Linked DNA regions of Oryctolagus cuniculus. The protein of the gene in region 2 binds, or shares a complex with, the protein of the main gene of each other region. Links are inferred from orthologs where the notes say so. Each region holds a gene or a part of one and is shown on either strand. Other genes may lie near its edges.

Region 1 (4,702 bases), on a different chromosome or scaffold from region 2:
AAACCAGCACCCATATTGGATGTTGGCACTGTTCATGGTGGCTTTACCTGCTATGCCACAGCTTGGGCCACAGGAATGAAGATTCTGATACAAAGGTGTTCCACAGAAAGATTAAAACAACTCAATTGCCTAATAAAAGGGGAATTATTTAAATAAACGGTAGGCGCATGGCACAGCTATTAAGATGCCCCTTGGGACGCTGAATGCCGTATCATACAGCCTGAGCTTCAGTCCCAACTCTGCTTCCGATGCAGCTTTCTGCTAATGTGCACCCCAGGAGGCTCAGATTGGGCTCCGACTCCCGACTGGCCTGACTTAGCCCTGGCTGTTGCAGGTATTTAGGGAAGAATCAGCAGGTGGAGGATCTCTCTCTGCCTTTCAAGTAAAATCAAAATAAATGAACAAAGTAAAATTTTAAAAAGGTACATGTGTACAATGGACTAGTAAGCCGCAATTAAAAATATTAGAGATTCAGTATGATTTTTCAATCTTGCCTGAAACATGTTCACTGTGTGTATTAAGAAATATGGAGGCCAGCGCCGCGGCTCACTAGGCTAATCCTCCGCCTTGCGGCACCGGCACACCGGGGTCTAGTCCCGGTCAGGGCGCCGGATTCTGTCCCGGTTGCCCCTCTTCCAGGCCAGCTGTCTGCTGTGGCCCGGGAGTGCAGTGGAGGATGGCCCAAGTGCTTGGGCCCTGCACCCCATGGGAGACCAGGAGAAGCACCTGGCTCCTGCATTCGGATCAGCGCGATGCGCCTGCCACAGAGCGCCGGCCGCGGCGGCCATTGGAGGGTGAACCAACGGCAAAGGAAGACCTTTCTCTCTGTCTCTCTCTCTCTCACTGTCCACTCTGCCTGTCAAAAATAAATAAATAAATAAATAAATAAATAAATAAAATAAAAAAGAAATATGGAGAGGGGCTGGCACTGTGGTGCAGTGGGTTAAAGCCCAGGTCTGAAGCGCCATATGGGCGCCGGTTCGAGACCCGGCTGCTCCACTTCCGATGTGGCTCTCTGCTGTGGCCCGGGAAAGCAGTGGAAGGTGGTCCAAGTCCTTGGGCCCCTGCACCTGCATGGGGACCTGGAAGAAGCTCCTGGCTTTGGATCAGCCCAGCTCTGGCCATTGCGGCCAATTGGGAGAGAACCATCGGGTGGAAAACCTCTCTCTCTCTCTCCATCTTCTCTCTGTAACTCTTTCAAATAAATAAATCTTAAAAAAAAAAAAAAAAGAAATATGATGGAATGAATACTGATTATGGCCCAATAATGGTATGGTTTCTTTTTTTTTCCTTCTTTATATAGCTTCAGCTTCGGAAATTTCTAGAAGGCCCTTATGTCATCGCCTAAGTGACAGTGACCATACACACAGGACAATAAAGAGGTGGGGGAACAACCCACGCCCTTCGGACGGCCGGGCCGGGAGTCGGTGACGTCAGCGCGGTTCCTGGAACCCCCGCCTCCCCTCCCAGTCCAAACCCGGCCGCGCCCAGCCCGCGGGAAAGATGGCGGCCGCCCCGCCCCCGCGGCCGGAGCCGAGCGCTCCCGAGCGCTCCCGAGCGTTCCCGAGCGCTCCCGAAGCCCCGAGGAACCCCGGGAGCCGCTCGGGCGGGAGCGGCCCCTCCCGGAGCCTGGGAGCGGCGGCGCCGGCGCGGGGGAGGGGCGGCCGGATGTGAGTGGAGCGGCCATTTCCTGTTTCTCTGCAGTTTTCCTCCGTTTTGGGTGGTGGCTGCTGCCGGGCTTGTGCCTCCAGTCCGCGGAGGGCGAGGCGGCGTGGACAGTGGCTCCGGCATCCCGCGCCCCGCCGCCCGTCGCCGCGCGCTCGCCCGCCCGTCGCCGCGCGCCCGTCCGCCCGCCGCTTCCCGCCTCAGCGCCCGGCCGCCGCCGCCGCCGCGGCCCAGCGAGCGGCCCAGATGCAGGCCATCAAGTGTGTGGTGGTGGGAGACGGGTGAGTGCGCGGCCGGGGGCTCTGGGGGGCCGGCGGGGGCTCGCCGAGGGTCGCGTGGGCGCCGCGCGGCCTCTGCGCGGGGCTCGGGCGGGCGCCCCTCACCCGCCGTCGTCCCGGGCCGGGTTGCGGCGTCCTGGTGGGGGGAGGGCCCTGCCGCTGGCCGGCCGCGGGCAAGAGTGGACTCCGCCCTCTCGCCGCCTTCCCGGGCCCGCGGGGCGGCCGGACGCCGCCCGCCACCCTGCCCGGCTTGGCACGGCTCTCGGGCGCCTGTGCAAATCATTTTATTTTATTTTATTTTATTTTGGCGAGAAGGGGCCGTTCCCTGGCATTTACCCTAAACCTCCTGGTCGCCCCCCACCCCCACCCCTCCAGCCCGGGGAGCCGGGGCGGGCGGCGGAGGTCCAGTGGTCTGAGTGACCGGAAGCCCAGCGTGCGGCCGCGTCGCTGCCACTTGTAACTTGGCCACTTGTGGGGTTCTTCGACATGGTCGGTGGCGCCCTTGGCGTGGACAAAGTTTGGAAGATGCTGTCAGGGGCCAGGTGTGACGGAAGCTGACCTCCTGCAATGTGGTCGTTATTTAAAAAAATAAATAAAAATAAAAATTAAAAAACCGAGGCCTTGGCTGAGCGCGGCAGGGATGGATGGAGTTCTTTCCAGGACCGCCCGTGGGGGTTACAGGCCCCAGAGGAGGACAAGACCGGTCTTATGCAGTTGTGTGTGTGTGTGTGTGTGTGTGTGTTTTTCCCTCCCTTATAAACAAGAATCCCAGTGTGATCCGAGCAAAATCGCGCGTCTCAGCATTGCTTGTGTAGCTTAGTGTGGGACAGGGACTCTCGAAGAATTACTACCAGTTTCACCCAGCTCTGAATGCAACTGGTCCAAGTCCAGAGTCGGAGGAAGAGTGCGCTGGACACCTCTGGTTCATATCCCAAAAGTGGCCTTCCGACTTTTATCTTTTTTTTTTTTTTTTTTTTTATGCCTCTTAGTGAATGTGTGATCTCTTAGCTTAGAGAACTGATGGGAGACGTTTGAGATTGTTTGTGCATTTCGGATGCAAGGAGGACAGTTAGGACACTGGTTTTTCTGGGGAGATGCATGTCTGTTGGATTCGTGTCACACGTGGGAAAGGTGAACCCTGTATAGTTCTACGTATTCAAATAAAAATTGTTAAATTTCATTTATTTAGGAATGTGTATGCTATGTTACCTTTTTAAAAGAAAACCTTACTTTGGCACTTGGGGAAAAGCGTTCGTGAAGTGGGATTGAAAATGAAGTCAGCGGATTATTTTAAGTGAATTCTTCCATGCTTTTGTGTCAGGCATCAGCAAAACGTCACTTTTTCTTAGGAACGTTTAAAATGACCTGGATTTCCCTTAAAAGTTATAAATGCTCCATCGATTATGCTTAGGATATGCTTAGCTCTCTTTCTAAGTGAAGTTGTGGTAATTCAGAACCGAGGGATGGAATGTAGTATTCTGACTTGAAGGTTTCTAAAGCAGGGACCCAGGGTGTTTGACACGAAGAGCTCCCAGCCCTCTCCTGCTGGTACTGCTGTTCCTTCCAGTGAATACTTGTTGAATGCCTGCTGTGTGTGTCTGTCCTGCCCACATCTCACCACTTAGTTGGGAGGTGTCTGAGAGCACATCACTCCTCCCCTCCCCCAGAGAGGTTCCTCCTTGGGAAGTTCAGTGAAATCATGCAGGGGGCTGGCTGGCAAGCCCCTCCCAGGGGCCAGGCCTCTACTGATTGCCTGGAAGTGACCAGGACCAGCACTGTGTGAGGCTCTGTGAGGGAGTATGAGTATTCAAAACACTGTTCCCGCCCTGGAATTTCCCGTCTGCTTTCTAATTTAATTTTTAAAATTTACTTGAGAGAGAAGAAGCTCCTACCCACCAGCTCACCCCCAACATACCTGTAACCAGCATCTGAGAACCCATTCTAGGTCTTGCTCATGGACAGGAGGGACCCAACTACATGAGCCGTCACCACCACTCCCGGGGTTCACACTAGCAGGAAGCTGGAATTGGGGCCTGCAGCAAGGAATCGAAGCCCGGCACCGCGCTGTGGGGTGCCAGTGTCGCAAAGGCTTGTCCCCACGGTATTTTAATGAGGGTTTGACATTTATGTTGACTCTTGACTGTCTTAAGTAGTATTGGAGTAAAGTGAACTTTTGCCAAAAAAAAAAAGTTACACTGTTACTCTCAGGGGTCATACGTAGCAAACATTTCTTCAGTAAAAATCCAAATCCCAAATTTTCCGTACCAAGAATATATTTCTGCTTTCGACTGGTAAGCTATATTCCTGATGATACTGCTGGAATGTTGTTTTATCAGATTGTTAAAGCTGTAAATATGGCCCCGAGTTTCAGTTAAAGGTGTTTAAACAGTGAAGGCAAAAGGTGGAGATACCACAAATTGGAAGCAAGCTGAGTTTTAACCATTTTATAACTGGGATCAGCTGGCTATTTTTTTTTAATTTAATTTTATTTATTTGAAAGAGTTCCAGAAAGAGGTAGACAGAGAGAGAGAGGTCTTCCATCCTCTGGTTCACTTCCCAAATGGCCACAACAGCTGGAGCCAGGAGTTTCTTCCAGGACTCCCACGTGGATGCAGGGGCCCAAGCACTTGGGCCATCTGCTGCTGCTCTCCCAGGTGCATCAGCAGGGAGCTGGATCAGAAGTGGAGCAGCTGGGACTCAGTCAAACAGTCAGCATCCCAATATGGGACTCCAGTGTGCAGGCCGGGGCTGTAACCCAC
Region 2 (4,691 bases):
AGGGAGCTGGATCAGAAGTGGGGCAGCCGAGTCTCGAACCAGCGCCCACATGGGAGCAGGAGCTGCAGGCTGGGGCTTCCCCCGCTGAGCCACAGCGCCGGTGCCTAAATTTCTTTTTAAAGTCACCCTGTCCTCTCAGTGCTCTGGGGCCCTGGACCATGTCTGCTCCTCTGGCTGCGTGGAGCCGGGGTGCCCCTCGCCCCGGCAGCTCGTTCTGGCACCCTCGATGCTCCGTGTCCATCTCCACATCTGGACGCCGCTGGCACGGGGCTGGCGCAGCCGGGCGGAGGCGGCGAGTGGCACGTTCGTGCTCGGTGACCTCATTCTCTGACAGCGTCGGCGTCCTGGCCCTGTCCTCGCTCCGTGTGGCCATTCCTGGTTCTGCTTTGGTGCTGTCCTCATCAGACAGAAGCCGGCGCTCGGCACCTGGAGCTCCCCGCAGCCCCGGCCAGAGCGGCAGTGCCCGCTGTGCGCACGCGATCGGCCCCTGGCGCTCACTGCTGGCTCCGTCCCGCGAGTGTCCTTCCCGCTGTCCAGGCAGCTGGGGCCCAGTGGGGTCTCCCACGTTGAGACCGGTGCTGCGAGCAGCGTGCCTGCCCCTGGGCTCACCTGGCCGACCCTCTAGGGGCCAGAGTGTCCGTTGCCCCGCTGCCTGCCCACCCGTCAGGCGACACGACCCCGCGATGTCACAGCCCCTCCGGAGCCGACCTCGGTGTCCACCTCCACCACCCCGCCCCCAGCCAACAGCCTCTTCCTCCCCACAACCCCCGCTTCCCTGGGGTCCCCTTCCGCCTGGCTGGGGCGTGGCCTCCTGTGCGGGCAGTGGGTGTGGTGGCCACGTGGCCCGTGGGTCCTGCACTCGGGAGCGGCCTTGGCTGTGTGTGGGCGCCTGCTGCGGTGCTGGGAAGCTCACTGGCCACCGAGTGTTCCGGATGTGCTGCCGTGGCCTGCGGCCCGCGTGTCCACGCGGAGGACGCCGGCTCATCCTTGTCACCCTCGGCCGTGTGCCTGGAGCTGTCGCCACGCGTGTGGCGGTGCCTGCGCTGTGCCCGCGTCCACGCTGTGAGGCTCCCAGCTCAGCTCATCCACTGCGTTTTCCTCGCTTTGTTGCTTTTGGTTTTGAAAAATTTATTTTCATTTTATTTGGAAGAAAGAGGTCTTCTGTCTGCTGGTTCACTCCCCAGATGCCCGCCATGGCCAGGGCTGGGCCAGATCAAGCCAGGAGCTTCTTGCGGGTCTCCCACACGGGTGCAGGGGCCGGGCCTCTGGGGCCGCCTTCGGCTGCTTTCCAGGCCACAGCAGGGAGCTGGGTGGGAAGTGGAGCGGCCGGGCTACCCGCCAAGGGCTCTCCTTCACTGCACCTGTGGCCAGGCAGACCCCCCACCCCCACGTCCCTCCGCTCTGGAGGTGTCTTAAACACGCTCCGCCCCTGCACACGCGTGCGGCCCTGTGCATGGCGTGGGCCGGCTGTGCCCTGCCGAGTCCTCTGTGAGGCCTGTCGGGGCGGTGCTCACCGGTCCTCAGGCCCACACGTGGCGTGGCCGAGGGCTGGGGTCTGTGCTGGCCGGAGACCCCCGAGCTGCCCTCCTGGTCTGACTCCAGCATCCTGCCCGAAGCCCGGCCTCGGCTGAGGCCCTGGACGCCCGCTGCCTAAGCGCCCGTCCCCGAGGGCAGCCCCAGGCCCGGGCTGCGTTCTCCCCCCAGGTCTCCCCGCTTTTGTTGGTGCAGACTTCCTGAGCCGGGTCCGAGCTCGGCTACATATTAACTTTCTTGGTGCGCATTGGAGCGTGTGCTGGGGAGGAGGGCAGCTTCCCCATGCGGTCACCCAGTCGCCCGGTGTGGCTGACTCATCTCCAGGGCGGAACGTCCCCTTTCGGGGCCTCCTGTCTATCCGCCACGGGGCAGAGCCGCTGGCTGCACCTGCAGCCCTGAGCTAACCCAGTTCCAGCAGTGACCGGAGGCACCGCCGTGGGCTGGCGGGGGCTCGTGGTCTCGCGTGGGGAGACTAAAGCCAGCGCCGAGGCTGTGGGCTGGCGCAGAGTGGGGCACAGGGGACAGCAGTGGGGCCTGGGAGCAGGGGACGTGGGCAGAGGAAGCGGTTTCCTGGCGGGGTCCCCGTGCCGCTGGTGAGGAGGGAGGCAGGGGCTGGCGCGGCCAGAGCTGCTCCGTCCCTGGTGGTCGTCCCCGTGCGGGCTGCCGACGGCCCGGACAGCCCCAGGAGGAGCAGGGCAGGAGGCCTGGGAGACGTGCCGGCAGGTGTCCCGCTGACCCCTCGTGACCTCTCTGGCCTGGATGGGAGTGGGCGCCTGTGGTCGCTGCTCCTCTAACAGGCATCGGAACCAAGCCCCCCCCCCCCCGCTGTCTGCCTCCTGGGGGCGTCCTGGGAGGGAACAGGGGGTCTGGCACAGAGCAGGGGCAGTGGGTGAGGGTCCCGTGGGGCCTCCCTACACTGACCTGCCATGTTCTCAGCCATGGGGATTAACAGGAGGCCGTGGGCGCCTGCCCCACAGCCTGTTCAGGGTGTGGCCCTCCAAGCTCACTGTCCCCAGTGCACAGGGCATGGCCCTGAGCTGGGACCCTTCCCACCCCCCCACATGCTCCCTCCCGAGGGTCAGGTCGGGTCGCAGCTGAGCTGGGCGGTTCCTGGGGGCTGGGCCTGCACGGGTTGGGAGCTCTCCCAGTACCCGGCCCCAGGCCCCTGGTAAAGCAAACCGGGCAGCACGGCGCTCTGGGCGGGTCACCGTCGCCTAGCCCTAACCCCGCTGACCCTGCCGGGCACCCGGTGCAGGGGTCGTGCCGCTGGGGACCCCTGCCCGGCTCCGCCTCGGGACCCTCCCCCGTGACCCCGCATCGTCGTCCCTGGGAGTTTCCCAGCCAGGCGGGGCGGCGGCTCCCGGAACCACCGGGCGCAGCAACACTTCCGCAGGCAGCTTCCTCCTCCGCGGGGCGGGGGCGGGGGCGCCGTGCTCCCCCTGCTCCCGGGCCGCAGCGACCCCCGCCCCACCCCACGATCTCCGCCCGCCCACACCATCAGGATCTCGGCCCGGGCCCAGCGGCCGGGCTCGCACTCACTCAGGCCGGACGCCAGCGCCTGCTCGTTAGCCCACATGGCCCACTCGATCTGCCCCATGGCGGTCGCCAAGGCTCACTGAGGCCCGCGCCGCCGCCGCCGCCGCCCGCCGCCGCCGGGTCGGCCCCGCCCCGCCCTCCGCCCCGCCCCCGCCCCGCCCCCCGGGCCGACCTCCCGGGCCGCAGCTGGGCCGCCTGCGGACGGCTCCCTGCCCCAGGCCCCCCCCCAGCTGTGCCCCTGCCCCCAGCTCCTCTGCCCATCCCGCGTGTGGCCCGGGGCTCCCAGGGAGCCGGCCTGTGCCGCCCCAGGACAGGGCAGCGCCCCCACACGGCGGGGACCAGGGGTCCCAGCACCGCTTCCTCCCCGCCCTGGGCTGCCGGGCTCCCTCCCTGGGGAGGCGGATGTGCCCCTGGCCCTGGACACGCCCAGCAGCAGGGGCCACAGCCCTGGGTGAGGCGGGCGGCCGAGCAGGTAGACCCCGCCCTGACGGACACCACCCCACCCCCGCCCTGAGCACTGGGCGGGACCCTCATCGCCCTCCAAGCCGAGGGCTGTCCACGGGGCAGGCCTGCTGGGGCTGTCGGGAAGGCGTGCGGGGCAGGCGGTCAGCGATGCTGGCTTTATTCCGGGGCGGTCACCACAGCTCCACCTGACACACGCCCCGCCCGCAGCCCCGCCGGCTGGCGAAGGGCCAGTCCACCTGCACCGGGCCAGCGTCCAGGGCCGGGCTGCAGGCCCAGCACGAGCGGTGCTGCGGCTTGAGGGGCAGCCCCGGCCCCTCCGCCCAGACGCCACGCAGCTGCAGGGGGCCGCTGACGCGCCCGTCACGCTAGGGGGGTCCGGTCACGCAGCGGGCCTCGGCAGGCCGTCGGAGCCCAGGAGGTGCGCGTCGGGGTCCCGCAGGACCTGAGGCCCCGGCCCCACCTGAGGGAGGGAGGGAGGGCGGAGGTCGGAGGCCGCAGGCAGGGGACCAGGTGCAGGCCCCACCTCCCGAGTCGACCAGGAGCCGAGCCCCCGCTGCCCGCTGCCCGCTGCCCGCTGCCGGGCGCCTGGCTCGGGTCAGCACTGCGCACGGGTCTCGCAGCCCTGAGCAGGGGGCGTGGCACTGGCCAGTCTGGGCAGGCTCGGGGTGGACCCCGCCGCAGCCCCGCCCACTCAGTCCCACCCCCACCCAATGACGTCACGCAGAGGGCCGGGCCTCACCTGGGTGGAGATGATGTACTTGATGCCACCGGGCGTGGGCTCCAGGGCCAGCGCCGCCTTGAGGTCGTCTGGGAGAAGTGCAGGCGCCACCTGCAGGCCCTTCACGAACCTGGGAGACAAGGCGGGCACACGCGTGTGCGGCCACACGGCAGCGCAGGAACATACGCGTGTGCAGGTCTACACAGGGCAGCGCAGGAACACACGCGTGTGCAGCCACACACACAGGCAGCATCCATTCAGGCAAGTCCTTGGAGGCACAGCGGCCGGGATGGGGATGGGAGCCCCACGGCCCCTCCGTGGCTGACACGGTCAGCCCTCGGCCCACTCTACCAAGACACAAGGCAGAGCTCGCCAGGGCCTGGCCAGGGTCCCCTAGGGGAGGGTCTCAGAAACCAGGAGGCTCTGGCTCGCTCCTGGC
Region 3 (3,336 bases), on a different chromosome or scaffold from region 2:
AGAATGGGGATATTCAGTCTACAAGATGTTAGATGTGAAGATGTCAAGATGTCAGTGTGAAGTAGAGAATTCTAGCTTCAATGTTCAAAATGTAAGCAACAATTCAAGTGGTGATTCCCTAGCAAGAGATGCAGGTGTTTGTGTGTGTGTGTGTGTGTGTGAAGAGTGGTGAAGCAACAAAAAAAATACCCATACTGAGAGTCCAAATGTTTTGAAGTTAGTTAAAAAGTCGTCTTCTTATATCCAACCCCAACATAGTTGGGTTGAGTGTTGAGTTGGTTGCTTGAAATCTATTTCGCAGGAAGCCTTCCATAGATACTTTGTCCCAGTTTGAATAGACATATTATACATCCTCAAAAATAACAGGTGTCCCATGTTACTATGAAGAACAATCCATCTGTGTAACAATTTCTTCTCCACTTCCTTTCAGGATAGCAGTTGATGGGCCCTTTGGCACAGCAAGTGAAGATGTGTTCAGCTATGAGGTGGTGATGTTAGTGGGAGCAGGAATTGGGGTCACGCCCTTTGCATCCATCCTCAAGTCAGTCTGGTACAAATATTGTGACAATGCCACGAATCTGAGGCTCAAAAAGGTATGTTCCTTCATTTTCTGGAGGGCCTGGAGTGGTCATCACACTTTGCCAAGTGAGGCCTAAGGGTGTGTTAAGGGCTAAGGCTGGCTGAAGCCAGAAAAAGTGAAGAGAAATATTAGGTGGTTCCAGAGAAGCAGATGTCTTTTCAAAGGCCTATGGGGTAAGTTAAACGTACCTCTATACTCATATAAGAAGGCCTATTAGTGAAAGCAATATGCTAGTTTTGTATATCATTACTGGAAATTCAGAAGAAAGTTGGGAAACAGTGAAGACATTTACAACAGCAAACCAATAGCTATCTTTTTTGTCTATTGTATTCTAATATTTACATATTTTCAAAAGGTATAAATATTGAGTATGTATAATTTCATATTCTGGCTTTCTAAATATATTATAGAAAGTGTGTTCAGGCTTTAAGATAATCTCAATGATTCTTTCATTTTCCATTGAGAGAACATAGAACAATTTTTCCATCACCCTGTGTTAGATATTGAGATTGATTCAATTTCTACCCCACCCCTTATTCCCCAAATACATTTTGCAGGAATAAAGCAAGAAACATGACATTTTGACTTTCTCATGGATATATTCTCAGGATCAATTCACAGAGGATTTTTTGTTACATGTGAATTTAGTTTCATTGCCTGATGAAATACATCTTTAATATATCTTGCCTAGACTAGCTGGTGCCAGTCTAGATTCCAATGGCCTTTCTGAGAGGAAGGACAAAGGAATCCAGGGATTCTGGGAAAGCGAGAATAGTTCTCTAGAGGGAAAGGTATTTCTGAGGTTAATTTATTCATTGCCTTGCCAGTGTGAAGGCCAGAGCAAGATCCTGTGAACTAGCCTGTGCTGGGTCCAGAGCTTTCTGAAAACCTGTACTGCTAGACATCCTGACCATCAGGAAAAGGTTTGGGGACAGTAGAAATCCACATGTTAACGAAGATCAAGTCTATCTAAATATAATCTGTGCCTCTTTCAGATCTACTTCTACTGGCTGTGCCGTGACACACATGCCTTTGAGTGGTTTGCAGACTTGCTGCAGCTGCTGGAGACACAGATGCAGGAGAGGAACAATGCTGGCTTCCTCAGCTACAACATCTATCTCACCGGCTGGGATGAGTCCCAGGTGAGGGCAAGGGTCCACATCTCAGGTCCTTCCAGTAGTGTCCAGGGCTTACCAGTTTCCCCTTTGTTATTGGTGTTTTTCGTGCCCTGTTTTTTCCAAGATCAGTTAATGGTTTGAGTAATCCATCCCAGTTATTCTCACTCTGTCTCCACATGATGTTAAAACTGTTGAGACTACATTCAAAGCTAAAGAGCCTGTAAAGGAAGAAAATCCTTGACTATTACACTATTAGAGCAATGTTCTCACCAGAGGATTAGTCTCAGACAAAATGGGTAAGATGCTCCACTATATTATGGGGAAAAAAAAGTTTCCTCATTCTCTCTCTCTTGGTATGTGTATGGGTATTCCTTTAATTTATATGTTTATGCTTGTTTTATAATATACTCAATACATTGCTAGTTATTAAGCATATGCACTCAGCTTTCCATATCTGTACTGAACATATCATTATCCACTACACAATACAGTATAGCACTTATTTACACAGCATTTCCATTCTATTAGGTGGTATAAGTAATCTGGAGATGATTTAAAGTGTATGGGAGGATGTGTTTCGGTACTTGCAAATGCTACCTCATTTTATGTAAGGGACTTGAGCATCCTCACATTCGGAATTTGCTAACTTCAGCAGGGCTGGGGATGTGCTGGGAGAGTGGAAACTAAACCTGACAGACACCAAGGGGCAGCTTACTATGTTCCCACTATTATTCTTAGAATTTACATAAATTGCCTTATTTTATCCTGTCCACAACCCTCCAAGGTTATTATTATTCAAATTTTTCAGATGAAGAAATCAAGGCCCAGAATAGATTCAGTCATTTGCTTAAGAGAACCCAACAAGTGGCAGAGTCAGAACGCTTCTGAACCTGCACTCTTAGCAACTCTCAGTAGTTTCTGGTTATAATTTTTTTTCCTTTTTCCACAAACTTTTTGAAGTACTTTCTTTTTTTCTTCTTTAAAATTTTTTATTTAATAAATGTAAATTTACAAAGTACAACTTTTGCATTGTTGTGGCTTTTCCCCCCATAACCTCCCTCCCACCCGCAGCCATCCCATTTCCCACTCCTTCTCCCATCCCACTCTTCATTAAGATTCATTTTCAATTATCTTTATATGCAGAAGATCAACTTAGTATATACTAAGTAAAGATTTCAACAGACTGCACCCACACAACCACACAAGATATAGAGTGCTGTTCGACTAGTAGTTTTACCATTAATTCTCATAGTACAACACATTAAGGACAGAGATCCTACGTGGGGAGCAGGTGCACAGTGACTCCCGTTGTTGATTTAACAATTGACAGTCTTATTTATGATGTCAGTAATCACCCCAGGCTCTTGCCATGAGCTGTCAAGGCTATGGAAGCCTCTTGAGTTCACCAACTCTGAACTTATGTAGTCAAGGCCATATCACAGTGGAGGTTCCTTCCTCCCTTCAGAGAAAGGTGCCTTCTTCTTTGATGGCCCGTTCTTTCTGCTGGGATCTCATTCATCTGGTTATAATTTGTAAACGAATCAACAAATATTGCTTGAAGGTGATATGCAAGGGTGAAAAGTTCATGGATATTGCATGTTATGAAAAAAATGAAGTGTAGATTTCAAAATACATTTG
Region 4 (4,399 bases), on a different chromosome or scaffold from region 2:
GACTGAGCCTCGCAGAGCACGGGGCTCACCCAGGGCACGGTGAGGTGCTGGCTCCAGGCAGGGCCCCCCGAGGGGGTGGGAGATGGGTAGGAGCAGCCCGGCAGGGCCAGGGGAGAGAGCCTGGCTGAGCGAGCCGGGCGGCGGCTGTGGCGTCCTCAGAACCACACGGAGGCCCTGAAGGGCCGGGATCGGGCGTGATGAGAACCTCACTGCTCGAGCCGTGAGGACCATGGACAAGGCGCCCACTGCGGGCAGGCAGGGCGGGGCTGGGCGGCCCAGGAGATGCAGTCAGGCGGGCAGCCTCGCTGACGGAGGGCGTGGAGGGGTGGGTGGACCGGGGCTGAGGGCCACGATGGACACACGAAGGCCCAGGAGACACGGTCAGGTGCAGAGGAGGCGGGGTCAGGGCCGAGGCCTGTGGGCAGCTGGACCCTGCAAGGTGTGCGGATGCTCACACGCATGTCCCCGGCCCTCCCTCACCCGCCGCCCGGCACGGCCTGCGGAGCGCACGCCCCGGTTTCTTAGGCTCTTGGGAGAATTGCAGTGTGAATGTGTGTGTTCCTTCCGGTAGGAAGCAGGGGCTGAGCCCTAACAGCGAGCAGGGGGGCTCTCTAGGTCACGCCGGCTGTCCCCAGGACCCCGCGGGGGGCTCTCTAGGTCACGCCGGCTGTCCCCAGGACCCCGCGGGGGGCTCTCTAGGTCACGCTGGCTGTCCCCAGGACCCCGTGGTCCCTCAGCAAGGCAAGGAGTCTCAGCCTCCGTGCAGCCCGCAGCCCGTCAGCTCACAAATGGGAGAAATTGCCGTTCGTGGCCGACCTGGATCCCACGCGGAGGCGCTTGTGGGCAGTCGCTCCCGCCCCGGACTTCCTGAGTGCTCATCCGAGTGACCTCGGGTGCAGATGGACCCCGGGAGATGTGTCTGTCGCTGGTGTGGCTCAAGATGAAACCAACAGGACACGGCCGTCGCAGGGTCAGGAGCAGGAGAGCCGGGGACCGGGAGAGGCCGGGAGGAGCCAGGCGCCCGCCCCGCAGCCTCCCAAGCCCAGGATGCAATGGAGCTGGGGAAGCCACCCCTGGCACGGCTGCCCTGGGCCCCACAGAGGCTGCAGCCAGAGGAGGAGGCGGAGACTCAGCGGAGCGTTTTGGGGAACTGACCCATGACAACGGCACCTGCTGTACTTCCCCTGCCCGCCCCCCGCCCGCCCCCGCCGCCCTCTCGTTCCTTCTCTCTCACAGTTGGCTGAAAGGTGGGGCCACTTCCGCTGCCTTTGCAACACCAGAGCCTTCTTAAGGGGAGCCGGGCCCGTCCTGCCCCCACCGCCCGTCCCTGGCCGCTCCCGACACCTGCTTGCACCTGACCATGTCCCTGGCGGAGGCCATCAGCCTCTGGAATGAGGGGGTGCTGGCGGCTGACCGGGAGGACTGGAGGGGGGCCCTGGCCGCCCTCTGCGCAGTCCAGGACCCGCACGCCCGGATCTGCTTCAACGTGGGCTGCGTGCACGCCATCCTGGGAGACCTGCCTGAGGCAGAGAAGGTGAGTGAGGGCTCTTCCCACCTCCTCAGTGTCCGCAGCCTCTGCCCTCGGGCTGGTGGCCACGGAACCCAAATCTCCAGGGAGCTTCCGCATTAGCCCAGAGCCCCCGCCCAGCTGGCCTGGGCAGGGCCTGCGCCACAGCTCCCAAAATTCCCCAGCTGCTCGGGAGGGGCGTGGGCAGCCCAGGCCGGGAGCCGTGACCAGGGCCAGGCTGTCCCTCTTCCCCCTCTTCTCAGCCGTGATGGCCCTGACCCACGGGGCACTGGTTCGCTCCGTCTCCGTCTCTGTCCCCGTCCCGGCCACGAGGTGCCCCCAGGGCAGCCCGGCCCTCTGGCTCACCAAGAGCTGGCTGCATCTCCAGTGCGCGCCTAGCTAACCGTGACTGACAGGGCGTCAGCCAAGGGCAGGGCTGGGGATGGGGTCTGAGCACCTTCTAAAGTACTTTTGCCTCTCGCGTACCCCAGTGGGGGCCAGTGGGGTCAGGGCCAGGGAGACGCCCCCGGGTCCGGCAGCAGGAGCGCTCCAGGCAAACGGCGGCGCCGCTCCTCCCTGCACCTTGGGTCTCCAAGGGCATAAACACCGCAGCGATTGCGTGAGACACGGAGCAGGAAGGCGCCGCCCCGTCTCGGAAGTCAGCTGTCACCTTTGCCTGCTGCTGCGGATCCTCGCAAGGCCCTGAGCGCAGCCAGGGCCACACCCACCGCAGGCAGAGCCGAGGGTCAGCGGGCAAGACCCCGGCGGAGGGCGCGGCCGGGGCAGGCCCTGGAGGGTGTGGGTGCCGGGCGTCCCCGCGCGTTCTGTGTCTGGATTGTTCCCTGCCTCGGCTGCCTAAGCCCCATGCTGCCAGCCTTCCGGGTAAATTCTTATTTATTACTTTAATTTTCATAATGAACCATTGTATCCTGATCCAGTGAACTTGAAAGGCAACACGCCCCTCATGCAGAGGAGAAAACTAGGGCTCAGCTAGAGAGTAGGGAACTTGCCCCATGCCACGCCACGAGGAAGTGACAGGCGCGCTGACCCGTGCCCTGCCCAACGCTGCCCGCGGCCTCCGACCTCCTCCACCCTCTCCGCAGGCCTTTACCAAGAGCATCAGCAAGGACAGGCACCTGGCCGTGGCCTACTTCCAGCGGGGGATGCTGCACCACCGCACGGAGAGGTGAGGGCCCCGGGCACTGGGAACTGTGCAACAGCTCAGCGCGGGAGGCAGCGGGAGGGCAGGCCTGAGCTGCGCCGGGGCACAAGGCAGCCGCCACTCGCAGTGGCCTGGCGGCCACAGGGACCTGACGGTCAGCCAGCACGGCACCCACCGTGCGCTGCGGGACGAGGCGTGCCGTGAAACCGCATCGGCCTGGCTTCATCCCTGGTTACGTCCGTCTGGTGAAGTAAAATCCAGCCGCAAACGAGAGAATAGAGCAACACATCAGGTAGATGTGCTGGACCGCGGCCGGCAGTGCTCACGACGCCCGCATCCGGGTTCAGTGCGCAGCTCAGCTCCGGCCTGCCTGCAAGCTGCGGGGCAGAAGTGGCGGCTCAAGGAACTGGCATCGCGTCCCTGCCATCCACATGGGCGCCCTGGGCTGGACTCCCAGCTCTGGCGTCAGCCCTGGCCCAGCCTAACCTGCAGGAAGTACCTTGGCAGATACGAGCTCTCTGTCACTCCGCCTCTCTGCCACACGAGTAAATGATTTTTTAAAAAATATTCTATGTATTTATTTGAAAGCCAGAAATACAGAGAGAGAGAGAGAGGAGAAAGAGAGAGAGAGTCTTCCATCTGCTGGTTCACTCCCCAAATGGCCGTGACAGCCAGGAGCCAGGAGCTTCCTCCAGGTCTCCCACGGGGGAACTTTGGCCATCTTCTGTTTTCCCAGGCCACAGCAGAGAGCTGGATCGGAAGTGGTGCAGCCGGGACTAGAACCGGCACCCATGTGGGAGGAAGGCACTGCAGGCGGCGGCTTTACCTGCTACACCGCAGCACCGGCCCCTACCTGCATTTTTGATGTGTTTACAGTGTTCACATGAAATAATTAGTAAAAAGCTGGCGCCGTGGCTCACTTGGCTAATCCTCTGCCTGCGGCGCCGGCACACCAGGTTCTAGTCCCGGTTGGGGCGCCGGATTCTGTCCCGGTGGCCCCTGTTCCAGTCCAGCTCTCTGCTGTGGCCAGGGAGTGCAGTGGAGGATGGCCCAAGTGCTTGGGCCCTGCACCCTATGGGAGACCAGGAGGAAACACCTGGCTCCTGGCTTCGGATCGGCGCAGCTTTAGCCGTAGCAGCCATTTAGGGAGCAGAACCAACGGAAGGAAGACCTTTCTCTCTGTCTCTCACTGTCTAACTCTGCCTGTCAAAAAAAGAAGAAGGAGGAGAAGGAGAAGAAAAGAAAGAAAGAAAGAAAGAAAGAAAGAAAGAAAGAAAGAAAGAAAGAAAGAAAGAAAGAAAGAAAGAAAGAAAGAAAGCAAGAAAGAAAGAAAGAAAGAAAGAGAGAGAGAAAGAAAAGAAAGAGATAATTAGTAAAAAGAGAAGCATTCACAGACTTAAAGTTAATCCCAACCTCATCAACAACCGGATGACGATATTCTAAGCCTTAATTGCTGATCTTTGGTGCGTGGCACACTGGCCTTGCAGGGCGGGTTCTTCCTCCAGTGTGCACGGGGGCAGTGGCCAGGAATTCGGCTCAGGCTGAGCTAGAACTTCCTGGCAGTGGCAACGGTGGGCGCCTCGTGTAGGCAGAGGCTGATGGACGGGGAGGCTGTGCAGATGCTCAGGGGTGCAGGTTGATGGACGGGGAGGCCCCGAGGACATCCAGGCGTGGGGCGGGCTGGCTCCTATCCTGGGCCGCCTTTGGTCAGCAGCAGGCCCCTACAGCCA
Region 5 (4,666 bases), on a different chromosome or scaffold from region 2:
CGTGGGGAACGGGCAGGAGTCCACATATCTGGGTTACAGATGAGCACAGATGGGGGGGTGCTCCCTGGCCACACGTCTCAGCTGGGGCGGAAGCTGGCTTCCCAGGCTCCCTGCCCGGTTTCTCTGCTCGCTGTTGGCTGCCTGCTTCCTCCCAGCTGGGCCCGGCTGAGGCAGCTGAGCCACCGTCCCCAGGAGGGAGCCCAGGCCACCTGCCGCGGACCAAGAGGCTCAGGGCTGTTGTGCTGGGAGTGGAGTCTGAGGCTGATGGGGACCCCCGACATCACGGGGTGGGTGGGGCATCTTGGCCCTGGCCCTGTCCTTCCTTCCCCTGGTCCTAAAAGGGAGCCCCATTACCATCACCAAATGAACATCCGATGGGCCTGGACTCAAGTCGGGGCGGTGGGGGGGGGTGTCCTGGGAGAGATCAAAGTCACTCTAGGGAGTGAGCGACCCCTTCGGGCTACAACAGGAAGGCTTCCTGGAGGAGGGGGCACTGGAGCTGGGCCTGGAGGCTTTAGACACTTGGATGTGGGAAGGAGAGCCCTGTAGCAGGGGGAGCAGCTGGAGCAACGGCCTCGAGGAATGTGCACTGAGCTGCAGGGGCTGGGGCAACCACGGAGGCTGGAGCAGACCACAGAGGCCTTGAACGCCGTGCTCAGGGGCTGGGAGGTGTCCGTCAGGCAAGGCTTCCCTCTGAGTCTGACCCCCTCCCACTCCCCACTCCTCAGGTGCAGCCCTGCCCGCACAGCCAACCAGAGGCCGGGGCCTGGAGGGCGGGGGGCACAGAGGGCACTGCAGACACCCTGGCACCCCTGTCCCTTGGTGTCTGGGTCCTCTGGGTTCCTCCGCTCTCCCTCCCCGACCTGCTGCTCCCCCGCCCAGTCCTCTCCATCTCCCTCTCCCTCTCCCTAGAGGCGCAAGTTCAAAGCCAGCTCTCCCCCCTGACTCTCCTTCTCCCTTCTAGAAGCCTCCCTGGGTGGCTGGTAGACTGGGACCCTAACTGCCCCCACCCCGGAAGTGCCGGCAGGGGGCGGGCTGGCCCTGCCCCCCGCCCCCAAGCTGCCCCCTCCCCCAGCTCCGGGCAGCCCGCCCCGCACTCACACGGTGGGGATGTACTCTCCCGGGAAGGCGTTGGTGGTGTAGCTGATGAGAAGGCAAGTCTTCCCCACGGCTCTGCAAGACGGAAGGTGAGGGGGCGTGGTCACCGGCGGCCCCTGGGGAGACCCAGTGCAGCCAGCCCACGCCTCCGGGCCGGGGTCTCCCGCTCCCAGGCGTCCCGTGTGGCTTTTCTGCACCCTGAGTCTGTAGAAGTCCCCGGGGTTGTGGGAAAGTGCCGACTTCGGGGTCCCGTCCCCCGGGTGCCTGACCCACGCCCGGCAGAGCCGTGAATCCGCGTTCGTAACAGAAGCTTCCCCGGGCGCAGGTGACACGGGACAGGCCGGGCAGAGCAGAGGGGGCCGGGGGGCTGGGCCCTCACCTTGTGCTCCAAATCCCAGCTCCACCCCCTACCCAGTGGCCCGACCTTCGGTCAGCACCCTCTGCCTGTTTCCCCACAGCGGGGACAGGGATGTGTCCATCTTCCAGGCAGCGTGCTGAGACGTGAAACAGACGATGCCCATGGCCGCCACCGACTGCTGGGAGAGCCGGGGGCCCCTCCCCACACCTCCTGCAGCCTCGCGGTGAAGGGGCCCGCAGGTTTGGGACCCAGAGACGCCTGCGTTCAAATGCTGGGCGGTCCCGGGCAGAATACGGAACTTCTCTGAGCTTCAAGTTTCCCCCGTCAAATGAGCCTAAACATTAGAGCTGGCGAGAGACCAAGCTAGGGGAAGTTGACTAAGTCCGGTGCCCGGTATACAGTAGGGGGTAAATAGATGGTGAGCCTCGTTATCACACTGTCTCCCCCTTAGCCTGCGGGGCTGCGGGCAGGGGCACAGCAGCTGAGCGCGAGGCCCAGAGGCCAAAGGGGCGGCCACGGGCTTTCCCCTGCCTGCTTGGTTTGTCACTTCCCGTTCCTTGCGCGGGCTGCTGGCCCCATCCCCCCTGCCACCTCCGCCGTCCCCAGGGCCACCAAGGTAACTCCGAATGGCTGGAAGTTTCCCCTTGACTTCTGCCCTCCCCCTGTCGCCTCAGACCCAAAGCAGAAGTAAGCAGGACAGGCGGGCTGACATGACCTGGCCGTGCACCAGATGCACCAGAGGCAGCCTGAGCCACGGGCGGGGCAGAACCTGGGCCGGGGCGGCTGCAATCCAGGTCAGAGAAGACCCTCGTCTCCAAGGCCTCCGGCTGCCGCTCTGCAGAGGGGAGAGCTGGACAGAGGCCCCGCCCAGCTCCAGGCGGCTGGGACAGATTGACAGGGAACCCAAGACCTGCCTGAGGGTGGGGCCAAGGGCTGGCGACTGACCACCCATCTCACAGATGGGGACATTGAGGCCCACCGGGGCCACGGAGTTCTGACAACCGACAGGGGCCCTCAGTCCAGCCTGCCATGCAGGCCAGCCCCCAGCAACCCTGGGGGCAGAGGCCTCCCTCCGATCACCAAACGTGAGCTTCAGAGAGGTGCAGTGAACCGCCCGAGGCCACACAGCACACCCCGCCAGTGCCTCCAGCCCAGGTCACCGCCAACGTTTTGCTTCCTCCCCTCTGACCTGCACCCCCTAGGGGTGAGGACTGAGGCCCACCACCCCCAGGAGACCTGCCCCCAGCTCAGGGGGGCAGGGAGGAGCCGCAGACACCCCCACCTGCCATCCTGTACCCTCCACCCAGGCGGCTTCCGGGGTGCGGTGGGGAGGGCTGAGTTCAGCTTCTCTCTCCCCGGCCCACCCTAGGGGGCTCCCTCTGGGCCCTGGGAAAAGAAGGAAGCAACTCCCGATGGCTGTCACCCAGCGATGCCCGCGTCGGCAGGGCAGGGGCTCCCCCAGCGTGCCCCAGGGCGGGAGGGTCTCAGGGTGGCCCAACGGGGGCTGTAGGAGGCAGGCCAGGTACCTACCCATCGCCCACCACCACACACTTGATGGCCTGCATCCTGTCCGGGGCCTGGGGGGCGGCAGCAGAGACAGCTGAGGGCCGGTGGGGGCTCCTGCAGGCACCGGAGCTGTGGAGAGCCTGGGAGGCACCGGCCGAGCAGCAACGGCGACGGCGGCGGTGAGACGCGAGGCAGGAGGAAGCGGAAGCAGAACTTAGCCAAGCCGCTGTCCCACGGCCGTTTGCAGAAGGCGGGGCATGCGGTCTGGCGGAGCAGCTGGGGGCACCGCAGGTGCCGGGCCCGGCCCTGGCCACCCCTCCCACACACACACAGGCGCCCTGTCCCGGGGCTCCCGCAGGAGACGTGGGGGCCCGAGGGGCAGCGCCAGAAGTTGCCCTCTAAGGACTTGAGGCTTCCAAGCATACAGTTGACCCCATTTCTGAGCATAAGCACGTAATGAGTGCCTTCTGTATGCCAGGCACAGTGCCAAGTGCTGGTGGTGAGGCCAAAGCGCAAGGGGCCCAGCCCCTCCCTGGGGCTCACACTCCTCGTGGAAGGAAAGAGTCGGCCTCATTACAGGTGTCCGTCAACCCAGACAGGAAGTGATGGAGCCCAAGGGATCTGCGGAGAGCAGTTACCCCCAGAGAGCTGGGGCCTGCAGGCCGGCATTGCAGCCGGTGTCCAGAAGAGGGCGCTCTAGCAGGAGCCCTGCTTTAGCCAGGACTCAGAGCGGGGGCTCCCCGAGCAAGGGCCTGTGTGGGAGTCCCTGGGGAGGAGGATGGAAAATGTAGGGGAGGGAGGTGAGGTGGGGTCAGCTGACGGAGAAGGGAAGCAGCAGGCAACGCCCTACGCGGGCCAGCCCTGGGGACTTGCGCCCCGAGGCCAGGCACCACGGCCCATTCTGTGGGTGCGGAAACTGAGGGTCTGAGAAGCCAGGCGGCTCCTGGGTCGTCTGCAGCCCAGCTGCTGCTTGGAGGGGGAGGGGCAGAGCCCGAGTCCTCCAGCCCAGGGGTGGGGATGGAGAGTGAGTGCTCCCCTTGTCACGAGGGTGCTCCAGGGAGATTAGGGAAGCGCGGGACCTCCCAGCTGGCTCCAAGTGTGGGGTTCATGGCTGCTGCTCCCACCCCCAGCACCTTTCCAGCCCCCGGGGCGGGGGGGAGAGGGCAAATGTTTGGGCCCCCGCTCCCACGTGGGAGACCTGGGTGGAGTCCTTGGCTCCTGGCTTCAGCCTTGGCTGTTACAACCATTTGGGGAGCAAACCAGCAGATAGAAGATCTCTCTCTCTCTCTCTCTCTCTGTAACTCTGCCTTTCAAATAAATACATCTTTTTTTAGAGAGAGAGACATGTGGTGAATGCAAAGCGGCGTCCTGAACTGCAGACGGAACAGAAAAAGTGGCCAAGCCACCCGCTGCGATGGCTGCGCCGGAACACGCCTCTGCTCGGGCGGGCGCCCATGGCCGCAGAACAGGCGTCAGCACGGACACAGACGGGTGAGCTCTTCCACCGTCTGCAGCCTTTCTCTACATCGAAAATGGTCCCGTGGATGTGGCCGCCGCCTTCCCCCTCCTCTCACTCCCCCGACATCCGCGCCTCCTCTGCCAGCCTGCCCAACCCCTCACGGCTGTAGACAGAAGCTCCAACTGTCCCCCTGCTCCAGGAAGCCCAAGCAACACGTGTCCCTGACCCAAAGCCACCGACGCCGT

The links.
Region 1: CYBA (region 2) and RAC1 share a complex: the UniProt entries of both Homo sapiens proteins name them as parts of the phagocyte NADPH oxidase complex. The link is inferred for Oryctolagus cuniculus from reciprocal best matches to the Homo sapiens genes CYBA and RAC1.
Region 3: the proteins of CYBA (region 2) and CYBB are in contact, whole or in part, in a cryo-EM structure (PDB 8X2L), measured with the Homo sapiens proteins. The link is inferred for Oryctolagus cuniculus from reciprocal best matches to the Homo sapiens genes CYBA and CYBB. Residues at the interface, in NP_000092.2 of Homo sapiens: Gln3, Ile4, Glu5, Trp6, Met8, Trp9, Glu12, Gln13, Ala16, Ile20, Thr23, Val27, Gly31, Phe33, Thr34, Gln35, Arg56, Arg59, Met65, Gly102, Phe103, Leu104, Leu105, Ala106, Ile108, Leu109, Ala112, Cys113, Ile116; in NP_000388.2 of Homo sapiens: Thr116, Ile117, Leu120, Phe121, Val123, Glu124, Asn128, Asn133, Lys161, Asn162, Pro163, Gly166, Leu167, Ala170, Val180, Thr183, Leu184, Ile187, Leu188, Thr191, Ser192, Thr194, Lys195, Thr196, Ile197, Arg199, Ser200, Tyr201, Glu203, Val204.
Region 4: CYBA (region 2) and NCF2 share a complex: the UniProt entries of both Homo sapiens proteins name them as parts of the phagocyte NADPH oxidase complex. The link is inferred for Oryctolagus cuniculus from reciprocal best matches to the Homo sapiens genes CYBA and NCF2.
Region 5: CYBA (region 2) and RAC2 share a complex: the UniProt entries of both Homo sapiens proteins name them as parts of the phagocyte NADPH oxidase complex. The link is inferred for Oryctolagus cuniculus from reciprocal best matches to the Homo sapiens genes CYBA and RAC2.

The regions. Positions count from the first base shown.
Region 1 is NC_091450.1:40,075,854-40,080,555, reverse strand, and holds the start of RAC1 (ras-related C3 botulinum toxin substrate 1), read left to right. Parts: upstream 1-1,768; 5' UTR 1,769-1,911; coding exon 1,912-1,946; intron 1,947-4,702. UniProt on the Homo sapiens protein: Plasma membrane-associated small GTPase which cycles between active GTP-bound and inactive GDP-bound states.
Region 2 is NC_091449.1:68,681,074-68,685,764, forward strand, and holds the start of CYBA (cytochrome b-245 light chain), read right to left. Parts: upstream 3,197-4,691; 5' UTR 3,131-3,196; coding exon 3,073-3,130; intron 1-3,072. Other genes in the region: MVD (diphosphomevalonate decarboxylase), read right to left, coding at 3,914-3,994, 4,274-4,382. UniProt on the Homo sapiens protein: Subunit of NADPH oxidase complexes that is required for the NADPH oxidase activity that generates, in various cell types, superoxide from molecular oxygen utilizing NADPH as an electron donor.
Region 3 is NC_091453.1:23,819,092-23,822,427, forward strand, and holds part of CYBB (cytochrome b-245 heavy chain), read left to right. Parts: intron 1-430; coding exon 431-593; intron 594-1,575; coding exon 1,576-1,722; intron 1,723-3,336. UniProt on the Homo sapiens protein: Catalytic subunit of the phagocyte NADPH oxidase complex that mediates the transfer of electrons from cytosolic NADPH to O2 to produce the superoxide anion (O2(-)).
Region 4 is NC_091444.1:1,499,209-1,503,607, reverse strand, and holds the start of NCF2 (neutrophil cytosol factor 2), read left to right. Parts: upstream 1-1,336; 5' UTR 1,337-1,360; coding exon 1,361-1,534; intron 1,535-2,610; coding exon 2,611-2,693; intron 2,694-4,399. UniProt on the Homo sapiens protein: Subunit of the phagocyte NADPH oxidase complex that mediates the transfer of electrons from cytosolic NADPH to O2 to produce the superoxide anion (O2(-)).
Region 5 is NC_091442.1:114,257,596-114,262,261, forward strand, and holds the start of RAC2 (ras-related C3 botulinum toxin substrate 2), read right to left. Parts: upstream 3,203-4,666; 5' UTR 3,022-3,202; coding exon 2,987-3,021; intron 1,174-2,986; coding exon 1,102-1,173; intron 1-1,101. UniProt on the Homo sapiens protein: Plasma membrane-associated small GTPase which cycles between an active GTP-bound and inactive GDP-bound state.